Oryzias latipes: one gene and its partners. The protein of the gene in region 1 interacts with the protein of each later gene in a biochemical or structural test. Links are inferred from orthologs where the notes say so. Each region holds a gene or a part of one and is shown in the gene's direction. Other genes may lie near its edges.

Region 1 (6,228 bases):
TAGTGTCTGTGTTAGAGTGTGGCACATAGTGGTCCTGTAAATGACTGTGGACCGCGCCTCTGGCTCGTCTCGCGCCCCCAGCCGTCCCCCAACTCCATCTGGATGAAGCCCATCTGCTGGACTACTTAAACATGTAGTTGTAGCGTTAGAAGCTTATATGTCACACAAAGATAAGGTCCCATGTGAATAAAAAAATACTTCATTATTCATTCATTCATTTTCTAAACTCTTCTAAACAAGAAAAACTTGCAAAGATTGACAACTTTTACAGAGGCAGGATCCTGCACATACAGTGTTTCACTGGACAAGATGAAAAGCTGCATGTAGTTGCAGGAGGTGATCAGCAGGTGTCGCCCTCTGATGGAAGTTTAAGATGTCTCCACCAAGGAAGACAGTTCTGACATTTTTCAGAAACAATAAATGCAAATAAAGAACAGTATTGTAAATAGGAAGTAAAAATAAATAAATAGCAAAGTACTTTTTTTCACATTGTCAACGAACAAGTTACACTCTCTGGTGGACAAGATTTTCCCAAACTTTATGTGCACATATGTGTAACCTAATGCAAAAATGCCTTTGGATTAAACATTCTAAACATTAAATATTGAAGAAATGAACTGAACATTTATTTCAAGCTTTTAACTATATAAAAAAGTGCAGAGGAGCATTAAGAAAGACTAACTCAGGTGGATATTAATGTTGAGTCACTTTAATTATTTCAGAGACTTACATTGTCCAGAAGTATTTAAGAAATTCAAATAAAATACAACAGCAGAAGTAAAAGCAATGAAGCCAATCCAACAAAGTTGAAAATAGACCTTAAATGTTTCATTAGATTGCTTCATATAAAATAAATTAATATTATTTATCATATTCTGTTCTCTTTGGAAGATATTAATTTCACCAACTTCAGTCACTGAAAAAAATGTACATTAAAGTATTTCGCAGCACTAAGAGTTAAAAACAAAAATACAGTACTTTTTATGACTGAATAATGTGCAAGAGAGGAGGTCAACTCAGCTTCTGTTTGCTTGGAATATGTGTGCAGCTCATGAAGCCAGTGCAGAGAACATGCATAGTAAGCCACATGGGGTCCATAAAGCCAAACCAAAAAGATAAAGATATTCTCTGCATGGTTATGTGGATGTGTGTGGATGTGAACTGCACAGGGGGATGAGCTGAGCTGCCAAACAAAATCATATGTATTGGTCCCAAAGATGCTGAATGGCTTCACCATTGCTTCAAGTCCCTAAAACAGACATGTCAGTGATAATAAAAGTGGGATTCTTCTAAACAGCAACTGCATCTTGTCACTGTGGTTAATGCGTAAACAATCTAAACAAACCATAGATCTGTTTGATTATCAGTAAAATTTGCATAAAGCTTCAAAAAGGCCAGAGGGTATATGTATATATTAAACACATCTCATATTTGATTTCCTTTATTAGATATACATTAATTCTGGCCTTAGCACACACAAAGTGTGTACTCAAGACCACATTTTAATCGCAACAAAGATTAGAATGAAACTCAAAAGGTACAAAAAGCCCTGAAAACCAAGGAAAACGACCCAACAGACACAGGAGATTCAACCAAAAGGATCCCCCACCACCACGGCTTGAAAAAAAACCCCATAGAGTTGGAGTATTAATAATAATAATAGTTTCATTAATAGTATTGTGTAGCAATCATAGTAGTAATCAAAGTCAAAACATTAATACATTTTTATTACTACTACTATTAGTCAGGACCTCAGTTGGGTCCTCTCCCTCTAGATGCAGCTCTAGATGGGGACCTGCATCCCCACTTAGCTGTGGTGGAGCGGTCCCCGCCTGTGATGCTGCATTTTGGCTGGCTATGCAGCTATTCAGAGAGAGGGAGGTTCAAACGATTCAAACATCTTGTTTTCGTGCTCAGCCTATTTCTCATTATTGTCTTTCCCCATCAGTTTAGGGGGTGGGAGGTGTGAAAGGAGTGGGGGGCTGTGTGTAGGTACAGGAAGGGGGCCCTATTTTTTAATTTTTGTGTTTATTTATTTTAATTTTCATGCTTGTTTTTGTACTATTTATTTTGTTTTAATTTAAAGAACTGTATGTTATTCTTTTAAAATTAAAAAGTGGTTTATAAATAAAGTTTGATTTGATTTAATTAATCTTGTTTTTTATTATGACCCGAGCTCAAACTAAGTGAACCACAGATTAGATTGTAGGTACGCTAACCACCAGGAATGGAAAAAAGGTTCAAACGTAAATTATTATTATTTTCGATGTAAGGAAAATATGTTTTTGTTATACAATCAACGTCATTGCCATTGACAGACGTGCTAACTTTGTTTCGATTGTGGTGCATGCGCAAACAAGCGGAAATTGCGTCTGTATTTTCCCGCGCTTTTGTACTGTCAGTTTGTTTTATTTAACTCAAGTGCTGTCATGTGATCTGTGTGAACTAAAAAAATGGTGTCTGATATGATTTAGAGTACAGTTTAATAGTAAAATTAGCTTTGACTTCTTTAGAAATAATATTCTTAAATCTAAATTCAAAATAGGGTATTTTATTCAGATATATTATCACAGTGTAAAGAACGTTTGCAAACGCTACGACATAACCTCCCTGCGGGGCAATTCCTTTGAATAAAACGAGCATACACTGAAGCACGGCTCCAGGAAGTATGTCAGATTTTGTTGTATTGTTGCCATTGAATTTACTGAGTGGGCTTTAAACTCTAAATACATTAGCTGCCGATTTAAACAAAAGTACAAAAAGGTGTACACATTTTTCTGAAAAGTAACCACTCCAATATGCCGCCTAAAAAACGCAACTCGGGAGCGGCACAGAGCAAGGAGCCGAAGCCGAGTTCTGACAAAAGCTTTGCAGACAAGAAGGGGAGTCCAGAGTTTTCTTTGAACAAGTAAGATAAGTTAACAGTCGCCATTCGGAAGGGGACAACAGATTCCCAGTATACACATTAAAACGCTCTTTACTCACTGACACAAAAAACGGGCTTTGAAGGAGTATTTTCATGAGTAGCTTGTGTACGAACCGTTAGAGTTAGCCACCGCGAGGCTAACAACATTGTACCCCTACAGTAGTACTGACAATGAATGTCGCAATCCACACAACCAGCAGCATAGTTTTACAGTGATGAAAGTCTTCCGGGAATTCCCGGAAATCCGGGTTTTTGAGCAAACCGAACGTACTTTCCGGGAAATAAAGACCTGATCTCTACGGACAAATCGCTTTCCGGATTAAAAAATGGTCTGAAATCAGCTAATTTTAGCTTTATTTTCTATATTTCTCCGCAGATCGCTTCCTCTATGGTCGTGGCCATCTCTCGTCTTCCCGGCCTAATTGACCAATGACGGGCCGTTTTAGTTGCTTTCGGATGCGTCGACGGGTCTGATTGGCTCTGTCTGCACCACGTGGTCAGCGTGACTCGCTTCCCTAGAGACCAAAACTGGCGGACCCACGCTAAACTTTCACAAACACATCTGAAGAGTTTGCGATAAAATTTGTGTTAAAATAATGGCAGGCATCGTCATTATTGAGCGTGGTCACGACCTCAGTTGTGAGAAGACGATAAAAAACAAATTGAAGTGGTCTTGGCTGGAAAAAAAAGATTTTTAAGGTAGTGTAGGTCAAATACTTTTTTGTGTAAAATAATCTCAAAACCACATTTTGAAATAATTTCAATTTTAGTTTTGAGTTTCAGTTTTTATTTTGAATACATTTCTTTATCTAATTTATTTGTATTTCCTAATTACCATGATTTAGTTCAGTATAGTTGACATTAATTACAAGTATTTGATGGTTTGGACCCGCACTCCCTTAAAAAATAATGTTTACAATGTTTAGCTTAGTTTGTATGTTTGTTTTGATATTTCCCAGATTACTTAGTATTGGTGTTAAAGAATTGATGTATTATGTTATAGAATTATAGTTAAAGCAGATCCCATATTTTGATGTAATTATAGTTTGAGAAAACAGTGCAAGTGGATGTTGTACATCAGTCATTTCTAAAGCAGAAATAATGTATAAATAACTGAGGTATTTTCATAGAATATCATAGTTACTGGTGTTCTTTTTGCCATTTGGGGCTTTGATGTTACTATATTTTAGCAATTGTATGTTTTGCAGCTTTAAGGAAAAGCGTAGATTGTAGGATTGTGTTACTTTGAGCAATTTTCCAAATTCTTTTTTGGGACCAGCAAGTCCTTAATGGAGAGTCAAACTAGGGGTTTGAATGACAAATCATGATGCTCCAATTAGTCTTAGTTTCTTGATAAAGAAGTGAATAACTAGTTGCCAGAATGCACCAGAATGCATCTAAGACCACGTATTTTTCCAAAATTTTGCTCTGTGCCCGCCATATCGCTCAAAGAAAAGTTCAGGGATTTTTTCCTTACCTGACTTTCATCACTGGTTTTAACAAGTTTCATCTACAAATAACAGGAAATCATGTGGTTTAGAAAATAGTCTAGAAGGTTTCACTGCTATATAATCTGATTTTCTGACGTTTGTTTTCCTTTCTGAAGACACACAGAGAAGGATGTGGAGTTTGTGACCCTGTGTAAGAGCCTCCACGCCACGGATTCCGTGTGTGAGCGCGCGTGGACTTTGTGGAAAACTGTACAGGATGTGATGGAAGATGTTGATGTATGTATAACCAACTGTCCGAGTTGTCACTTTGTAATGTTGGGGCCCTGATGGTAAAAGCAAAGATACATTTATAGATCAAAATAAAAGGGATGGCAGGTTGATGCAGTCTGAAACCAAATGCCAACCAAGCAATTATACTTATTTTTTCCTCTTTACGTGACAACAAAGTGCCCCAGCTAAATGTACTTGCTTTTATATTTCATTTAAACTTAGATGCATTTTAATCAACCATCTGAAGGATTTAAATGAGTCTGATGACAGCGCAAACACATAACTTTCTTTAATAAAGAAGTTCCTAAACCAGTGAAATAAAGAGATGACAGAAAAATAATGAAGACTGACAATTAAACAAGCAAACACTGAAATCTCTGCTATGGGAAAGAAAATTATCGGCAAGTTTTTTCTTAAGATATTTGCACAAACAAGGAGATTGTAACACCATGACTCCAGGGTGTCATGGAATCACCCAGGTAGAATTTATTAGTAGCTTTGACAAAAATAACATATAAAATCTGCCAAAACAAGACCTTATTGTGGAAAGTCTAATAACAATCAGTAATTATGCAGTCTGACATCAAAAAGCAGAACATTTCTTTCTGGATTAAAGAAATAATGATTCATAAAATTAAATATTTTGTTTTTGTACCAGTTGTCATCTGAGCTTGATTTGACGCAAACTGGATCAGAATTGGGATTTTCAGAAACCTTTTGAATATAATAAAGACTTGTTTACTTTAACACTGTGCATTTTTTTTTACTATTATGGCTCAATTTTACCTAAGCACAAAAGAACTAGAGTTTATTTAAGTGTTGCTCGATGCCAAAGTTATGTCATCCAGAGTATTACATTTTTTGGCAGTAAATTCCTGAGGCACTTGGATTCCAAAAACATCCACCACAGTCTTATATGAAAATAGGCAGTGTTAAGTCATCCAAGACATTTTCAATTTCTTAGTCTTACTAGGCATTATAAAAAAGGTAACAAACTGATAGCAGCAAAAAGTGGATATTTATTCAGCTCTCCCTCACTGAGTAAATATAGATACATGAAAGTAAAGACAATTATAATAAATGTTTAGAAACCCTCTAATCACTGATCTAAAAGCAGACAGCAGTTGTTGAAACATTGAATTAAGTAATTTACCTTCTTTTAATTTTTTTAGGCCAATCAGAAAAGACTGTGGGGTTCTTGTCTATTTGTGACTGCAACAGACATGGATGCCGCCTGTTTTACCCTGACTGAAGTTCTAAAAGCTGTCAATATCAAGTAAGTAGCAGGAGTAGTATTTTATAAAATAAAGTAAAAAAAAAAATCATGTTTCAGACCTTGTTTGAGCTTTAAATGGCTTAAGCTACAAATTCACTGTTAAGCTTTGAAGACACAGAGTAAAGCAAGGCCTCTCACCCAGACATTTTTTGTGTTATAGTGTGAAACAGTTTGTCGGCCTGGTGAGAAAGTTGGATGTAAACTTGGATACGATAAGCACTAAAGTGAATTCAGCACTGATGCGAGTGGAGAAGAAGTACGATGTGATGCTGGCTCTTTACCAGAGGTTTGAGAAGTAAGTGAAA
Region 2 (6,186 bases), on another chromosome or scaffold:
GTCTGTTGCAGGGCCACACAATCATACACACACTCACATGCACACCTAGGAGCAATTTAGAGGAATCAATTAGCCTTTTAGCCCATGAACCATGGTTTTGGACAGTGGGAGGAAGCCTGAATACTGAAGCGCCATCGTTACATAACACACGTACAAAGTCAAGTGCACAAGGAGAACATGCAAACTTCACACAGAAGGGTCTCATCAGGGATTTGAACTAGTGCCTTCCTGCTGTGAGATGAGAATGCTAACCGCCAATCCACTGTGTACCCTTTCTTAGACCTCTCATAAATGCAAATAGACTATTTTAGAAAAGTCACAGGTTATCCAGCAAAGGAATCCCTGAAACTGAAAGCATTTCAAAGAATCTTTGGGCGGATAGACTTAAGTTAGTGGTCCAGCACAAAGGGCGTCCCTGACTCAATGTGAGCTTTCTGTCAGCAGAATGACTGAACCAAAGCTCTGGGAGGCTAAAATCCTTTAGTTTTCAAACTGAAAAAAGGATGACTAAATAAAGAGATAACAATACTTTTAAAGCAGCATCCTATAGTTCTGACCTGAACACAGCAATTGCAAAATGACTGTCAATGGTTAAAAATTTATAATAAATGCTTAATCAATTATGCAAGATGGTTAAATTGATTTTTCTAATAATATTACTTCATTTGCTCCAAAAATTTAAAAATTGATTCATGATTTTTCTTAATGTGACATAATTTTGCATATATTGTAACTTTTAAAACTTGAGAATTTCTTTCTATGAAGACTTTTGAAACAGTGTTCTGTCTATTTTACTGATATAGTATTTTTATTAATCATATACATGACTTTTTTTTAAGTAACATAATTGCATATATTTTGGATAAATGATCTGCAATTGCCATGTTGATTTCTAAACGTTATTTTTTACATAATAATTTAAGTAATTAATCTTTGTCATGTGCTTAATTGATACCTCAGGATTCTTAATTCTGTCTGATAAAAGCTAGGAGCCGGATATTGATAAATCATGTAATAAAATGGTTACGGTAGATTAGGGGTGGGATTATATAAATTTGCTTCCTTCCACTCCCTTTCAAGCAATATTTATTATGCCTAATTATCATAAGTTTGGTTCGCCATTGTATGAATGTATAACTGGTGATTGTATTGTTTTTGTGTATGATTCCAATTTGATTGCTTGAAATAAACCATTAAAAAAATTGTACCAAATGACTAAACAACTCCAAAGTTTTACTGTAATAAAACCCAACTGACGCAAGTAGAAAACATGATGCCGGCTTAGTCCAGTTTAGAAGGCATGTTTTTTACCTACAACTTTTCAATGTTGCACATATAATTTTATTGGACAAATGAAAACACATCAACAATCCTCCATGATGACCAAGAACTAAGATTTCAAGTCACAACTTCAGTTTTAGGTCAACAACACTAGGCGTTTATCTGATTACCCGCGACTTTTTATAGGTTTTATTGGAAGAAATTCCACTCTTTAAAGACGTACCGTCCATGGGAGGCTTTAGGTCTCCTCGTTCTTGGCCAATAGGGGTCAAGTCATCTGGCTTGGGTTTGGTCGCCAAAGATGGGGGAGGGGGTGTTTTCTTTCAATATCTTTTGTGAGCCAATAAGCAAGAGTGGTGAATCCAATTATCATGTACAGACAATGCAGGGCTGCCCCTTGCTGTGTGCCACTTTCCTTATTTTAGGAAATACGTTTACAAATGTGTGCTCTATTGTCACCAGAAATATAAATTCTGAAGGAAATGGAGTTCTTTTAATAACTAAATGACACTTTTTACAACTATTTTGGGATCTATTTTAGTAAATATGTACAATTCAAAGTTAATATTTGTTTGAACTACAATTTCACATTTAGTTGCATTCCTTTTGTCGTACTAATAGTCATTTTAGTCCATTTTAATTTGGATTCATACTCCAAATTGTAAAAGTTTTGAGTAGTTTGACTTTAAATGTAGTATTTTTGCTTGTATTTGGTAAAGTTAAGTGCTTAAAATTAGTTTCTTAATATTGGTTTTTTTTGTTTCTGTAACAAACAGTTCAAGTGAGACAGCTTAAGGCGCGTGTGGAGAATTCGTGTACTGTCTCTTTAAGAAAACCAGGCCCTGCCCCGAACAACTGTTTTATGCAAATATGACAAGCCGAGCGTGCCACCAGCCAATCAGGGGCGCTCTACAACCGCGGGAGATCCGAATTTCGCGGGACGGAGTTTGGCGCTAAAAAGACTATTCAGCTGCAGCTCCTGTCGCGTTGAATGGAGAAGGGGCACCCCGAGGTGGACTGACGGCAGCCGCACACTGGGTCGGAATCCGCAGTCGGAAGGACTCACCAGAAGTTCTAGCGTTTGTCCCCGAGACGCATTTTCGAGTCGAACTTTAAAGTCCCGCATGTTTGAAGAAACTAATTTATATTCGGAATCGTTTTTGGATCTGGTAAGACAAGTTAAATACGACTTATAAAAAAACGAACTAAGAAGAGGAACGAATCTATCAACGATTATTATTAGGAAACAGCGTCATATTGCGGATTTAATTCGTGCATTTTATTTTGAAAATATTAATTTAGTATTTGCAATTCTTTCTTCTTTTGTCGACGTCTTCTTCGGGGATAATATTATTCTCTAAAGCCGGTGATCGTCGCGCTGGCCCTAACGGCGCGCTTCTCTCCCCGCTTGACCAATCCGGTAATTGAGGTTTTCCTCGGGAAAATGATGCGGGTGCCTAAAGGCGTCTCTCCGGCTTCGGTTCGGCCAGCAGTGGCGCTCGCCTCCCAGCAGAAAATGAAGGTTTTGTCGTCCGGAGGAGTGAAGAGCGACTTCTTCAGCACCGGACTGTCCAGCCCGCCCATGCACGCGGTACCGATCGGGTATTTCACCCAGATCGGTAACACGGCTGCGGCCGAACAAAGAGCCAACAGCCTGTATTCAACCCCCCACGGCCCCGAGGCTAAACCCATCAGATCATCCTCCGGGCGGCTGCCGGTAAGGAGCATTTCTGCAGCTCATTTTTCTCTTATGAACAAGGGATTTCTTGTGCCCATGTGGGAGGAATAATGCATGATTTCCATCGGCATGCGCAGTTTTGCAATTATGTTTTGACGCGATAAGCCACAGAGGGGCCTTTTTCCCCCATGTGTGTGCATCTCTCCACGCAGTCCAGCTGTATAGCTGGAGCAAGCCAGTGTGATTGTTTTTGATGTGGCAGATAAAGAGGAAGGGGCCCCCAGTTTGATCTTGTTTAGAGGTCCCTTGCGAAAAAATGTAGGATGAGTGGCCCCCTATACTGCAGTGAGTCAGGATGGCTTACAGACCAGAAGACAATACTGAGGGCATGGCTGTGCTGGTTGGAGGCATTATTTCCCTTACTCCTGCATTTGCAGACTACACCCAGAGACAGCTGCTCCATCTGCACCTGTCAGTTAACCAGTGCTGGACCTGTGTAACCTGTTCATGCAACTGCAGGAAGCAGGGTGTCATGAGTGAGCAACTGTTTGCTTTCCCCACAGAGCTTTTTGATTGAGGAAAAAAAAAAAAAAAAACTTCCATTCACTATGTTTCCTAAAGGATTATGCTGTTGATCTGCTGTGGATTCTGATCCACATGCATGCTGCCACTTCTATTAAAATCTCCCATCGTTCATTTAGTTGTTGGAGAGTGTGCAGGCTCTTCAAATCTCACGCTGACCCCTTGGCCCAGGAGCGTGGATCCACTAATAGGCCCTCCAAGAGGATTACTTGGACAGTTAGAAATAGGCTACCACCTGGCTTATCATATGTTGAGGTGATTTTACTGTTCAAGTTTGCGTTTTTACATCTCATAAAGGCATTCTTCTTCCTCATCCAGCATTAACACCAAGTTTATAGCTAAGTCTTAAAAAATACACCAGGATTTATAGGTTTTGTCTCCATAGATATTGTGTTTATTCTGTAAAACAATGATCATTTTTAACATTTTTCCATGTGTGCATGCTTATTTCAACAGTAATAGAAGAACTTTAGAGTAAAACGTTTTCGGAAACTCATATCGTTGGCTCTTTTTTTGTATAATTGGGAGATCTTAGATTCTAAGATGTTTATAAATGTGTATTATAATGAGTTATAAAAAATAAAGAAAAATCAATGCAACACAATTTCTGCAGAAATGACACATTTATAAACACACGATGCCTCTTCAATGAAGTGTCATCATAAATTTCACACCTTTACTGTCATTATATTGTAATTATCAAGTGAAGATGCGCAGATTTTCTCCATTGAGGGTTTATTTGCACTTGATCTGAGCCGCGGTGTTGTTTGAAGCGATCTCCTGGAAACTGGGTTTTGCCATCACAGCTGCTTGGGTGCAGGCCTTGTGTTTACAGGAACTGCTGCATATGCAGCACACTTCCTTTAACAACAAAATAACCACCACTCTTTTGCATTTCTGCCTCATAAACGGAACCCTAGCCCTGAGATCCCATAGACTCAACCTTTCAACACTCTGTAGACGACATGTACAAAAAAATAACATCCTTAAGTTGATTTTGAACAGCTTTTGTTGACTTTAGCTGCAGATGTCTCACATTTATGTACCAATCATGCTGTGTAGTAAACGTCAGTGCATCATTGACTTTTAACCAGGGTGTGGAGACAGTTCAGAGTGTTATGAAATAGAATTTCCTTTTGGGCTTGATGATGATGCAAAATGTGTTACAGTCTTCAGGCCATCACTCTAAAGGTCATGGCTGGTCTTTCACTTGGAGTTTTCAGATGCCCCGCATGCATCCATTTGTCTACTCAGGATACCCCTGACAAAAATACATCACAGTTTATCCACACAATTCCAAACCAGGAACTGTCATGTTCATGTAGTTTAGTCAAAATCTTAAAAAGAAATACAATAGATTAATTTTACACCATACATTTACAATACTGTTTAGTATTAAGGGATGCTTCAACCTAAATTCTACATTTTGATCTGCATGCAGAATCCTTGCTAATGTTTTTAGGAATGCTTCTCTTGCAGTTTGGTCATTAAAGACCCACCTCAGTGGTGTTTTTAACATGTACTTGTGGCATTTGTCTGATTATAGAGGACATATATAAAGAAAATTAACTTTAAAATAGCATTTCTGAGTATTTATTTATTCAAATCGTTGTGAATCAGGAGCCCACGATAAAATGTAGTTTGAAAAAGAGCTTAATTGTGATGTCGAAGATGCACTGGGCAGGTCACAAGCTGTCATCAACAGGAAGGAAAGGGGGGTCGGGGTTGCTCTGCGCCAATGATCCCGCCCACAATCAGAAAGGAATTTCTAATGAACCCCTGCGGCTCTGTAGAAACTATGTCCTTGAAAATGGACAGTTTTTGTTTTTCCATTTGACCAAAAGATGAGCGGAGTGGGACTTTAAAGGTTAAGGCATCGTCTTAACCTGGATTGGTAGTTACCTTCAAATTCACTTTGAAAAAAAGAAATGTTACAAAGCCGATTGTTTTCTGGGGAGTTAAAAAATAAAACGTTCATTTAAGCCTTTTTTTTATTGTGAATTTTCAGAAACAAATAGAACTGAAATTTTAACTCCCCATTTTGACTTCAGCTTTCGTTTTAAGCCGTGGAGGGTTTATAGGGAAAGGTAAACTTGGATTGGCTGTAGGATTCTGCATTCCGGATAGAATGTAATATGTTTGTAGCAGCTAATTAAAGCACTAGGGTGTAAAGAAAATTGTTGCAACCACTCAAAATCTCTTGTATTTTGTAGTATGTCTGCCTTGATGGGATGCAAACTGTTAAGAAGGACAACTTTTTTGGTCAAATGCGTGTCTTTCTACCTGGTAGGAATGTACCCTTCTATAAATAGCTTTAAGTTGCTTTCTTCAAGCCCCTGTGGTTAGCGTCTCAATCACGCTGCTGCCAGAGTCATTTGTCACATTTTCATTTGCATTCCTCCCATCAGCCACCTTCTTTTGCCTCAGGTCAGCCCGACCCCAGGCGCATTACGCCCTTACGGGGTTTTTGTTCTCATCGCAAAGCTGTATTCCCATCCAGGAATGGATTTGCTTTGCCCTGTCAGCACTGACAAACAACAAATTAGCTCGTTTCCATGTAAGGTTGCCCAACAGGTGTGGCGCCATGAGCGACTCTGTGCAAAGATGAGGGCGTTTGCAGGCCTACTGTAATTTGCTTTCGCATG
Region 3 (6,033 bases), on another chromosome or scaffold:
TAAGCTGAAACCTATGACACGCAAAAAAATTTTTTGAAAGCAAAGAAAAAGTATGTGAAAGCAAATATTTAATATTTTCATTTGCAGCTTAGAAAGTTTTGTTTGCTATGTGGTGGCGTAAATATAACTTGATAGACATTTGGAATTTCTAAATGCCAAATATTTAGTCTTTTCTTCGGCTTGCACATCTTTACTTTTATTCCGGATTGTGTTGATTCGCTTCAAACTTGTTTAATAAGAGCAAGATAAAAATATAAATAATTAAAAGTTGAATTGTAAACAGCTGGTTTTGTTTTTTTGTTTTTTTGCACGTTTTATCTGGAAGGAATAAATAACATACATATCATACACATGTATGAATAACAACTTTTTTTTTACACTTATTCATCTTATATGCTTCATTCTGACTGAAATAAAGCAACAAAAACCAAAAAAGTCTTTTGGGAGCTGAGAGGCTCTTTTTAGTGAGCCGATCCAGGATTCCCATCACAACAATGAGCCCACACTGGCAACAATGTCTGGTCTTAACAAACAGCTCGACTGCTGACAGTCAATGTGCTCGACATGTGATGACGTAACCACGCCTACTAGAGTCCCTGCTGAGCGACGCTTCTGGGTAAAAAAATTGATGTCAAGAGGAGGAGTCAAGCTGGATATCTGTAATCTGGGTTGTTGAACTCCATAACAGAGCTAGAAAGTTCTCTTATGTTTTACCCTAAATGTAAGGATTTAAAAAATAAAATACAACCGTTGTTATTCGCCAGGGGCCTCCGAACTCTAAAGTCCGCCACTGACGACAACATTTACCCTGAGACGCAATGCGAATGTGTGGGGGGGATCAACACCACAATGTGTCTCTTGGCCGCACATATTAAGTGTTTTTCTGTCTGGTCCTACGTAAATATGTGCAAATAACAAAAAGAAAAGTAGATTTTGAAAATTATTAAGATCATTTCTGAGTAGAATTGATGTGAATACATGAAAACCAAAGCACAGAGACACTCAGTTAGCATTATTTTCACAACTATTGTTGTAGTTTAGAATAAATACCGACTTTTTGAATATGGGAAAGCAAAACCTTTTTTTCATGCCATTTTTCTCCATTAAAACAACAACTTTGTGGTGTTTTTTAAAAAAAAAAGAGACTTCATTTGTTTTTCAAAATAGCTCTAAAAACAACCAAAGCTCGTCTTGCATTGCCAGCTTTTCACACATTTCTTGCTGCTCATTAAATGTTCTGCTGACAGTCTTTTCTTTCAGTGCAAACATTTCATTTGTCTCTGACATTCTGAATTGCCTCATTTTTCCTACTTACAATGAAAACAAAAAAAAGAGTGGTGTGTGCGCATGTGAAGGTGCGTTCCAGAGCGCGCTCCACGCAGTTTCATGAACACTCATTCGGTGTACAGACCGGACGGACCAGCGCCAGACACGCAGGTACCTGCAGGGGCGGTTCTTCTTTTCATCAGCGCTCCTCCGCCACCTACAATATATTTATTGTAATTAAATCAACTTATTGGAAGAGGTTCGATCTGCAAAATCAAAGCGGTTCAATTCCCTCAAATCTTGCTCCAGCCTTTTTGTTTTCACAGATCTGTTCCTATAAATGTCCATCTTGGTGTCATTTTATTCCGGCCAAAAACAAACCGCAATTATTCATTTCTCCTTAGTGATCATGTTTACAACGGTTGATAACTGTTTCTTGAAAAGACGCTACAAACACTATCAAATCCTAATTTCTGATTGGTCACAGCGCTGCGTTGCTGAGATTCAGCGTGAAAAAGTTCAACCGGTTGAACTTTCAGCGCGCGACCAACGAACGCTTGATTTGTTTGTAGGCTCCGCACCCAACTTAAAAACCTGCTGGTGATGTGCGACCGCTAGCCTTCCAGACGCCACAGCCCCAAATTCTGGTGTGTGCGCATTCAAAGAGGCGCTTGAACACGGGTGTGTAAGGCGGAAATGCGTGTGCGGCCTTCCTTTAGCTGTTCCGTTAACTGCAGGCCTCTAATTACCGTGCAGTTGTAACCCCTCCACTTACACACACGCACACCCCTGCAGCTGCCCACCGATTGGTCACACTCCTCTGACCCCTTGGCCCCCCTGCCTGCTGCTGATGTGCCAGGTATAAGAGGCTTCAGGTCAGCAGTAGTCCAGTTCAAAACTCCTGACAGGACCCACATTACCGGACCCGCGGATCGCGAGTCTCTCTTCGGTTTGCTGGATAGCTCGGCTCGGCCCGTTGATCTCAGTATTTCTTTTCTGCGGGCCTGTTTTGGACCGGGTCATGGAGCTGTCGGATATTCCTTTCCCCATCCCGGCTGCTGATGATTTCTATGATGACCCCTGTTTTAACACAAGTGACATGCACTTCTTCGAGGACCTAGACCCACGGCTAGTCCATGGCGGTCTGCTGAAGCCGGATGACTCCTCTTCTTCCCCCTCATCCTCTCCTTGCTCGTCCTCCTCCTCCCCGTCCTCCGTCCTCCATGTGCACCAGCGCGCGGAGGTGGAGGACGATGAGCACGTCCGTGCGCCCAGTGGCCACCACCAGGCGGGCCGCTGCCTGCTGTGGGCCTGCAAAGCCTGCAAGCGGAAAACCACCAACGCAGACAGACGCAAGGCAGCGACGCTGCGCGAGCGCCGGCGCCTCAGCAAGGTCAATGACGCCTTCGAAACGCTGAAGCGCTGCACGTCAGCCAACCCCAACCAGAGGCTGCCCAAGGTGGAGATCCTGCGCAACGCCATCAGCTACATCGAGTCCCTGCAGGCGCTGCTGCGCGCCGGCCAGGAGGATGGCTTCTACCCGGTGTTGGAGCACTACAGCGGGGACTCGGACGCGTCCAGCCCCCGCTCCAACTGCTCTGACGGAATGGTGAGTCCGCTGTTCGGACAAGCTGCGAAGGCTGGAGCTACAGCGCGTCTTTACGCATGGAGTCTTGACTTAGTTAGTCGTTTCATGACGGCACAAGTTTTTACAAAACTTCAGTAAAAAAGAAAAGAAAAAGGAAAGGCAACTTTCACCGTTTTAGATTCGATTATACAGGCGCGTTACTCAGTTAATTCAGAGGATTACCAGTTACTACCTCTCCCGAAAATAAGATTTTTAAACGTAAAACCTTTTCTTTTTTTTTTTTAATCGTGAAAATCTTTTTTACGTATTTCTTGAATAGACTGACAGCGTCGTTTGGAGCAGTTCGCTGCTTGAATAAAAATCGGTTATAATTTGCACCAAACATCCGGATTTATTCAAACGAATTTCCTTCATAAAACATACGAGTCCCGTCATTAGGATTTCTATTATTTGACAAATTTCCTTTTATAACGCGTGCGAAACACTCAGGAAGATGAAATAATAATATTGTTGCTGCTGTTTTGTGCTTGTTTGTTCAAAGAAAGCCCATATATATATATATATATATTCCAGTTTAAAAATACACGAGTGTTTACTATCGGAAAATATCCCTTGTGTTGATATTTCAAAAATGTGACATTGTGTAAATTGTGTTTTATTTACTCTTTTGGCGTGCTCTAAAAAAAGCATTGTGTTTTATTCCAGACTGACTTTAATGGACCGAGGTGTCAGACGACGCAAAAGGGGAGTTATGACGGCGGCTCCTACTTCTCCGAGGCTCTGAACGGTGAGCTGCGCGCGGGCCAGAGGGGGCCGCGTCACGCGCCAACATTTTACACAGGAAAGATCCGATTTGCGCTTTAACCAGCCGACAGCATTGCTCATCTGAAATGATAAAGCGTTTGCAATCTAACTAAATCTGTTCATGAAGCCAAAGATGTGCTTTTATTTTTGCTAAATAAATTTAGTTTTCATGAGGTTAAAGAAAACAATGACATTCTCTATAAATTCTATAAATGAGAAAAAGGATATATATATAGATATATATCTATATCTATATTTACAGCTGAGCAAGTATGTCAGAGCTGAAGGCCTCTTGTGTTGGACAAATTTTACTTTTACAACAGGACTTTATGGATCTTTAGACAAACACAATTTATTTAGGGGTTAATATCCTTCAAAGGGTGCATTATTAACGCTTGCCGTGTAAGCCTGCGTTGAACTGCAAAGTGCATTAAAAATATGAACACTTTGAAGTAAATCTACTCACTTATACCATGGTGACTTTCAAAATAAATAAATAGTCAACCAGTACTTTATTCTGGTCATTTTTACGGTTTAGATTGCTTTTTCACAAAAGCGAACTATTTGTCATGCGGTGCAGCCTGTTGTCACAGTAACATGCCACTTAGCCAACCTCGAGTGGTGCGGCAAAGGAAAGTGATATCTATGCTGATGATCACGATGGGTTGAATAAAGCATCAGTTCAGAGAGAAAGTTCTCCTGTCACTGATCATTTTTGTCCAGATGATGAAGCTAAAGATTCTGATACAGAACATTTAAGATATGTGACCGGAACTGCTTTTTAGATGTACATTAACACATTTTTATCCACACCCAGCAGCCAATCAGAATCGAGTATTTCCCTGGACAATGGTATCAATTGGTGTAAACCCCTTATGTATTTGAGGTTAGGCTTTATTCATAATAATTATGTTTATATGCATTCTTTGTTGGACCGGACGGAAAACAAGAAGAGAGAGAGTGGATGTTAGAGATGGGGGGTGGGGGAGCAGTGGATAATACAGAGTCAAGAGTGTCATAAGTAAACTGCATGACTTGGTTCTCACACACACACACACACACCCACACACACACACACCAATAAATAGTCTGCACACAGCTGTTTACAGGTTTTATTCACACATAGAGGAGTGACCTCACAGTCTAGTTTGAATCATGTTTGACTGACGGTGTTTTCTGCCGTAGGAGGCCACAGGAATGACCGCAGCTCCGTCGTCTCCAGTCTGGACTGCCTGTCCAGCATTGTGGAGCGGATCTCCACCGACAGCAGCTGCCTCCCAGCCACGGCCGATGCTCCTGCCTCCCCGGCCGCCGCTGCGCTCAGTGAGACAGAGCGCGGCCCTCGGGCCGCTCCGACCTCTTCTCCGGCCTCCAGCCAAGACCCGAACCTGATCTATCAGGATCTATAGACCCTGACACCCTTGATGAACAGCAATGCTGTGGCACCGTGTGGAAATGAGCTCACAGACATGGAAACTGTTTAATTAGTTTGGCTCTGCAGATTCTTTTTAACATTTTCAAAACTTCTGTGGTCTTCTTAACCTTTAGAGGCTCATTCCTGCCAGGAAAATAGTATTTGTTTTTTGTTCGTTTTTTTGTTCAGTCTTCTTTTTTCCTGAATTGATATCTTATCAGTTTCAAACAACACGCACTGATGAAAAACATGAAATGTGGATTTGTAAAAAATGAAAAATGTCTTAATGAAGTCTTTATTTTAAAAAGGGAGTTAAAAGGGGAACAAAAGTCTCAGTTTTTTTAAATGAAATAATTGAAAACAGATCATCTAAACCAGAATATCTGGAGATAAAATATGAAATAAGTTTATTGCAGGTGGATTTTACCATTCCCAGACAGGCATATTTTCCAGCAGAAATGAGCTTCTGTTTTCCTGCTTAAAAACATGTGAAAGAATTCAGAGTAAAAACTGTAATGCTGGTAATACAGAGGAATTCACCTGAAAACAGGCGGTTTCCGTTTTTGTTGAATTTTTATTTTAAGTTATGCAAAAATATTTAAGTCTTGTTTTCTGTATTCATTTGAAAATGGAGGCCAAATGGAAGCCGGTGACGCTTCAGAGTCCTTCAGGCCTGCAGGTTTCTTCTCTCTAAAAAAAATCATCAAGCAGCAACACCACAATATTGTTGTGCATTCATGTGCACAATAAAAGAAAAGAAAAACCAGTAATGAGAGTGCTGGTTCAGAAGATGAAACCTCCACCAGCCTTTAGTCTTTCATTTTCAGCCTCTGAGGACCATGATTCTGTACATATAATGTAAATAAGAGCTGATTTGTTCCAACTGAAAGTATTATGTATCCTATTTATTGTTTTGCTCACATGTACTTTTGTTTGTTGTGAAATGTTTATATTTATACAC

The links. The genes of interacting proteins can lie anywhere in the genome.
Region 2: the proteins of rb1 (region 1) and e2f2 form a complex in vitro, tested with the Homo sapiens proteins (2 studies listed by BioGRID and IntAct, with this or other methods). The link is inferred for Oryzias latipes from reciprocal best matches to the Homo sapiens genes RB1 and E2F2.
Region 3: the proteins of rb1 (region 1) and myod1 form a complex in vitro, tested with the Homo sapiens proteins (2 studies listed by BioGRID). The link is inferred for Oryzias latipes from reciprocal best matches to the Homo sapiens genes RB1 and MYOD1.

The regions. Positions count from the first base shown.
Region 1 is NC_019872.2:15,933,295-15,939,522, reverse strand, and holds the start of rb1 (retinoblastoma-associated protein), read left to right. Parts: upstream 1-2,635; 5' UTR 2,636-2,798; coding exon 2,799-2,908; intron 2,909-4,532; coding exon 4,533-4,653; intron 4,654-5,819; coding exon 5,820-5,923; intron 5,924-6,083; coding exon 6,084-6,218; intron 6,219-6,228. UniProt on the Homo sapiens protein: Tumor suppressor that is a key regulator of the G1/S transition of the cell cycle. The hypophosphorylated form binds transcription regulators of the E2F family, preventing transcription of E2F-responsive genes.
Region 2 is NC_019880.2:9,279,412-9,285,597, forward strand, and holds the start of e2f2 (transcription factor E2F2), read left to right. Parts: upstream 1-2,237; 5' UTR 2,238-2,725; coding exon 2,726-2,998; intron 2,999-6,186. UniProt on the Homo sapiens protein: Transcription activator that binds DNA cooperatively with DP proteins through the E2 recognition site, 5'-TTTC[CG]CGC-3' found in the promoter region of a number of genes whose products are involved in cell cycle regulation or in DNA replication.
Region 3 is NC_019864.2:6,431,601-6,437,633, reverse strand, and holds the start of myod1 (myoblast determination protein 1), read left to right. Parts: upstream 1-2,084; 5' UTR 2,085-2,287; coding exon 2,288-2,875; intron 2,876-3,559; coding exon 3,560-3,641; intron 3,642-4,843; coding exon 4,844-5,067; 3' UTR 5,068-6,033. UniProt on the Homo sapiens protein: Acts as a transcriptional activator that promotes transcription of muscle-specific target genes and plays a role in muscle differentiation. Together with MYF5 and MYOG, co-occupies muscle-specific gene promoter core region during myogenesis.